Linked DNA regions of Kluyveromyces lactis. The protein of the gene in region 1 binds, or shares a complex with, the protein of each later gene. Links are inferred from orthologs where the notes say so. Each region holds a gene or a part of one and is shown in the gene's direction. Other genes may lie near its edges.

Region 1 (3,276 bases):
ACTTGAAAGTAAAACAATGCCGATAAAAAAACAGGAACCGGAAACACGCTTGACAAAAATACAGTTCTTGATCCTTGATTCCAAGCCTGCCTAGAATCTTATTATTGAGTTTGATACTGATATTCTCAATGTAACCACACCAGTTGGATCAGGTATAAATCCTATGTTTATGCGTGACTATTTAAAAGAACTTAAGCTTTTAAAATTTAAAATCTAAAATCCTTAAATCCCGAAAAAGAACTGATCTTATGATGTGATAAATTCAAACACATACACAAACCTAAACGCAAGCAAAGCCTGCTAAGAAATGTGGTTTATACTTAGAAAGAAATCTGTAATTGGAATTACAATATATCTTTAAACGAACAAAAACCATGCGATGAGATGTTGCTGTTCCGTGTGCTCTCGAGCGATAGAAAGAAATTTTTCATTACGCTTTAAGGGAAATGGGAAAAAGTACGGTCACGTGAAACAAAGACACAGAGAGGGAACGCCCTGTTCTAACATCAGACACAGGGTTGGTGGTACCAAGGGCCCCACCAATATCTGTTTAACCATTAAATATGCAAAACTGATATATTTCGATCCAATCCTGACATACTCTAAATCATTTCAAATGTCAAACGATGTGACAAACCGCTGCAAGATTATGGTTCAATCTTATACAGGATTTGCTTCCACCCCGGATGAATGCAATTATACGCGTACATAAGTTCTGTACCCCCTTTGCTACCGACCTTAAATTGCTTCGCAGTTTGGCTATCTTGTCTTATTATCCCCTTTCAAGTTGGAGAATTGCTCAATCCATTAGGTACTGAAATTGTTCAACAATCGTAGTAGCTTTTTTTTTTTGGTCACTCACTATTCTCCATCTGCTGAAACAAATTTGAACCTGAACATTGAGTGGAACGAACTTGACGAGAACAGAAGAATGGTAGCAGTCTCCCTTTAATTGCTGCATACTTAACTTACGTTGATATCTTTGACCAAATATATCTATATATACCGAGATCTACAGCGTCTTATAATATCCTGGCGGGTTATCAACATCATCTATTATACCCATTTTTACCATAGCATTCCATAATGTTGAGGCATTCCTATTGTAGAGCACAGCAACAGTCATTGAGACACGTTTTGAAGACCAGATTGGCTGTTAATCAATTAAGATTTATGTCTGAAGTTAAGTTTAGAGTCGATTCCACTGCCAGAGTGGTCACTTTGGATAGACCAAAGAAATTGAACGCATTGGATGTTGAGATGTGCAGTGCCATCTTGCCCACATTGCAAGAATATGCCAAGAGTACCGTTAACAATGTTGTTATCTTGAACTCTTCAGCTAGTCCTAGGGCCTTCTGTTCAGGTGGCGATGTAGCTCAAGTAGCCAAGTTGGTTAAGGAAGGAAATTTTGATTACGCTAGAGAATTTTTCACCAAGGAATACTCGTTAAACTTGGCTCTAGCTACGCTGAACAAGCCGGTCATCTCTATCATGGACGGTATCACCATGGGTGGTGGTGTCGGTCTATCTACTCATATTCCATTCCGTATTGCTACTGAAAATACTCGTTGGGCCATGCCTGAGATGGATATTGGATTCTTCCCAGATGTCGGTGCCACTTTCTCTATTCCAAAGCTTACCACTGTTGGTGGTTCCAACGGACAATTGGCTCAGTACTTGTGCATGACTGGTGACATTTTGAATGGTGCCGATGCTTACGTGGCTGGTGTCGCTTCTCATTATGTGCCACATGATCAGATCTCCAACTTACAGGCAAGATTGGCTGAGTTACATTTGACTGAAGCCACTTCTCAATCGACTAACCGTGATGATGAAATTTTCGATGTTGTCAACCATGCTATTGAGGAATTCAACGCACCATTACCAAGAGACTACAAGTTCAAGTACACTGCTGATGAACTAAACGTCATTGAACAGTGTTTCGATATCGGTAACAGTTTGAAGCAAATCTACTCCAAATTGGATGAGGTCATTGCTGGAAAGACAGTATCACAAACAGCTCAGGAGTTTGCTGCAAAGACCAAGCAAATGCTAGCTAGCAAATCCCCTGTTTCTTTGGAAATCGCAAAAGAACTTTTCCAAAGAAACTCCTTCACTGACATTCAAACCGCCTTGACCCAAGATTTGATCACTGCTACTAAAATGTCAGAATCTCCGGACCTATGTGAATTTGCTGAGGCCACTAGTCATAAATTGCTAGAAAAGAACAAGACCCCATACCAATGGAAGATCAAAGATTTGAAATTAGCCCAAATATCAGTTCTAATCTCACAAAACTCCTCAAACCCGGTGTCGTTGATCCGCCCATCAAATTTAGTTACTTTCTCTGAATACCCACATCATAGCAAGTACCAATTACCAAACGAAACTCTAGTTGAGAAATATATCACAGGTGCTGACAACCATGGAAGACAAACTGCAGTTACTAAGAAGGAAGCTGTCAAATTCTTCCAACAATTGAACCCCGCCACGAAGAGTAAGACCGGCGTAGACTACTTGGTAGGTTTTATTATTGACAGAAAATGTGTTCCAAACCCAGATGGTTTCTTAAGATGGAAAACTTCCTCTGCTAAACTATAAAAACTATACATTTCGATTATATAGTACATCGAACACTTGTAAATACACTTACGATTAACCTACACGCAATAAATTTCATTATCCTCTCTTAGAATGGCATTGTTCTTCGGCAGTACATAAGGGTGCCATAAGTTAAATACAGCTCTAATTGATGCGTTCTACTTTAAAACTCGTTCATCTACCTAATTCTTTGTTATATTTTCCATAATTACGGCATGGTTTAAAATTTGAAATTACTGGAGTTTGATCCTTTAAAATGAGTGTGCAAGAAATAGAACATCAATATATAAGAACAAAGCTCCACAACGCATCATATCTGCCTTCAAATTAAAGATGTCTGGTTCTGATATCCTTGATATCAATGTACCCAGGGTCATTGATACAGATGACTGTGTTTATTGTTTTGAAACGATGAAGAATAAAGATGAGGGTCGTGAACATTCATTATTCATCTGTCTACGCTGCTTTCAGTCTTTCTCCGAAGAGCATTGGGAACTACATCAAGAGGTTGTTTTGAGTGAGACTGGTTCTACCCATGATCTGTATCTCAGAGTATTCAAGGTTCTAAAACCAAAACAAGAGCGAGAAGAAGCTGGCACGCCACCATTGGAAAAGAAATTAAAGCTTGAGGTTAAGGATGTGAATGAGGATGATCTATATGATACCCACTGGCTG
Region 2 (3,112 bases), on another chromosome or scaffold:
CCATTTCGTCGACGTCACTGTCGTTGTCTTCGTCTTCTTCATCTTCTTCTTCATCTTCGTGATCCTCATAGTCCTCATCTTCGAATTCTTCATCCATTTCCTCGTATTCCTCGATGAGCACATCGCCATGGTTATCATATCCACGACCGATGTCATGATCTGTACCATCTTCATTGTCGTCGTCGAAGTCATCATAACCAAAATTTACAGCCACTATAGTTTCAATCTTCGAAATAAACGCCTGCAAAGACTTCTCATCTTCTTTATTCGTGCGGATCCACTCAATAGGTATCAGAGAAACATCTTCCATTGGGTTTGTGTTTGGACACTCTTTGCCCAGCCTGGGTGTCCAATCAGTATTCACCAAGCAACATTTCTCCATGGCCGACACAAACTTTTGCAAACTGTGCACAGGGAAATATTGTAATGGATGGTAAGATAATTCGCATATCCGTTGAATCGTGAACGGATACTTATCTCTTTTTGCAAATTTCACAACAAGGTACCTCGATAGCTCTTTCAATCTGTGTAAAAGGTCTTCCTCTTGGTCCTCGTTATAATTGAAGATCTCCTTCGGTATCGTTATGCTGAAATGTTCAGATAGCTGTGGGATCAATTGCGAAGGCGATATTTCGTTAAACGCGCTTAGATCTTTATCGATAACTATTTTAGTCAAACGGTCGTATAGATGTCTGGATTTTATTCCCATCATATTGACAATGTATCTGATTAATGAGCTGATAGTAGGAAAGGCTGGCAAAAAAAAAAAAATTCTACGGTATAGTAATATTACACTTGGTTAGATCTCCTTGAAATGGCACTAACGAAAGATCGGTGTTCTCGGGGTATTCTAATTAGCACAAATAAGTCCAGTATGAGCGATGCCTTTTTTATTCCAAACTGGCAGATATAGAATAGATAAAAAGGATAGTCTCGGAAAATAATATGAAACAACGGACTTGTAACACCTAGTCCCAATAGACAGTACACGGTTAGCCAATCCCAGCTCAGCCAGCAGCCTTATAAAGTTCGTTCTCTAGTCTGTTGATTGACCGTTCTATCTTTGTAGCTTAGAAACCTACATGTTATTTGAACAAATTTCTTTTATTTATCATTTCACATAATATTGTGCGCATATAACAAATTTCACCAACTTTTCACGTAACGAAATGTGATATTATTTAAAGGATTTCACTTAAGAACGGCAGGAATTTTAACACTTAAGTACGGAAGTTCTAAAGATACTATAGTTACATACCTGAATACAAAATAGATCAACGACATCTTTACTATAATATTAAAGGCTAAGGTGTCTAATAAGGTACAGTCTATATAATATCATTAATTATTCTTGGCAAGCTTGTGCTCAATGCACTGACAGGCAAAACTACCAACGGCACATAGAAACAGATCATTAGTAGTCACGTGTATTTATGCGGGTAACACTGTTCACACTGGCTCATCTCTGAACCTTTGATCAAAAAAATTTACGATTTTCAAACCAAATTCAATATCATCATATTCTGGTGAAGTAAGCTTGAATTTGGATCTAATGAGAGTTACTCTTAGATTGAATAGGTTCTGGTTGTATTGTGTGTGTCCTTGTGTGGTCCTTGTGTACACTGGCATCTATTCAACGGAAATTGTACAGTATGTTGAGAGCAGGAAGGTTTAGTCTGAGTCACGTCCATGCTAACGTTTTGGCAAGAAGTCCACTTGTACATGCTGCCAGTATACCGACCATGCAAACCAGATTCCAAAGTCAATCTGTGAATAATAATGCGTCTACAGGGGAGAAATTAGCTAGCCTTAGCGACGAACAGGTTGATGAATGGTTGAAAGTTATTGGATCGTTAGAAGAAGAGTTTTCGCAACAAGATTATAACCCAGCTACGTCCCTTGCACCAGGTAACCAATCTAGAATTAATATCTTGGAGAAGGCTATGGAATTGAACAAGCCCAGCTTTGAGCCAAGTCAAGAGCAAATAAATGAATGGGAAACGTTGAAGCAAGTTCCCATTCCAAAAAAACAGGATCCAGTTTTACAGCATGTAACGAATATGATTATGAGACACGGGAAAAGAGAAAGAGCTGAGAAGATTCTTTCAAGAGCGTTATATATTGTGTTCTGTCAAACAAGGAAAGACCCGGTAAAAGTTTTGAAAGAATCCTTGGATGTGTTGGCGCCTCTTATGGTTATCAAGACCTTCAAGACTGGTGTCGCAAAGGCCACTGTGGTTCCAGTTCCATTGAATCAAAGACAAAGGTTTAGATTAGCTTGGAAATGGATTGTGGAAAGTTCTGTGAAGAGATCATCGAGCGATTTCTCAGTAAGACTTGGTGAAGAATTGGTATCTGTCTTCAACGGTAATAGTTCAGGTTTCGAAAAGAGAGACTCTATTCATAAGACTGCTATTGCACACAGAGCTTACATTAACCTAAAATGATCAAAGTTCCAACCTCCACTGTATTTACTTGAATAAACCTGTACATATGTATACGTGAAATATAAATGAACGTTATCGATTTTCATAGTTATGCTGAATTTGTTGCTCTATCTTATATGCAATTCCTAGGCCCAGCAGACTTCCCGAAAAATTGGCCAAAATATCGTTTACATCAAAGGACCTTTTTCCTCGTGAGAGGAACTGTTGTGCAAATTCACTGCTCGTACTGGCACATACGCAGCATACAATAAATGCCAATAGATATTTGTTCATGGAAAAAGGTTCGTACGCAGCCAAATTCCTTGATCGTAGTCTTTTGGGGATGAATGCCGGCAACTGTACGGTATCACATTCAAACATCATGGTAAACAGAACGGTTTCAATGCAAAATACTATGCAATGGGCGAGCTTATCATGAGTTGATGTTATTAGCTTTAACCTGGCATCAGTAGTTAATCCGAGGAAGACAACAAAACATACACTCGAGAAAAATGTTACTGCGTATTTATATCTTATCATTTATCAATTTTCATAAAAACTCTCAATAAGAGTTGCATACACTCTACACAATTTCTAAATGAAGTGATAAACTCAACTCTCTCATCGCATTGGAAACCTTAATCCTACATCAATGCTTCACTTCTTTATGCGATCCGAAAGTCATC

What was found.
Region 2: EHD3 (region 1) and RSM7 share a complex: the UniProt entries of both Schizosaccharomyces pombe proteins name them as parts of the mitochondrial small ribosomal subunit. The link is inferred for Kluyveromyces lactis from reciprocal best matches to the Schizosaccharomyces pombe genes snr1 and rsm7.

What each region holds. Positions count from the first base shown.
Region 1 is NC_006042.1:1,715,804-1,719,079, forward strand, and holds EHD3 (mitochondrial 37S ribosomal protein mS47), read left to right. Parts: upstream 1-1,086; coding exon 1,087-2,601; downstream 2,602-3,276. Other genes in the region: ubiquitin-specific protease UBP14, read left to right, coding at 2,935-3,276. UniProt on the Schizosaccharomyces pombe protein: Component of the mitochondrial ribosome (mitoribosome), a dedicated translation machinery responsible for the synthesis of mitochondrial genome-encoded proteins, including at least some of the essential transmembrane subunits of the mitochondrial respiratory chain.
Region 2 is NC_006041.1:511,833-514,944, forward strand, and holds RSM7 (mitochondrial 37S ribosomal protein uS7m), read left to right. Parts: upstream 1-1,652; coding exon 1,653-2,447; downstream 2,448-3,112. Other genes in the region: PSY4 (Psy4p), read right to left, coding at 1-712; KLLA0_E05765g (uncharacterized protein), read right to left, coding at 2,520-2,966. UniProt on the Schizosaccharomyces pombe protein: Component of the mitochondrial ribosome (mitoribosome), a dedicated translation machinery responsible for the synthesis of mitochondrial genome-encoded proteins, including at least some of the essential transmembrane subunits of the mitochondrial respiratory chain.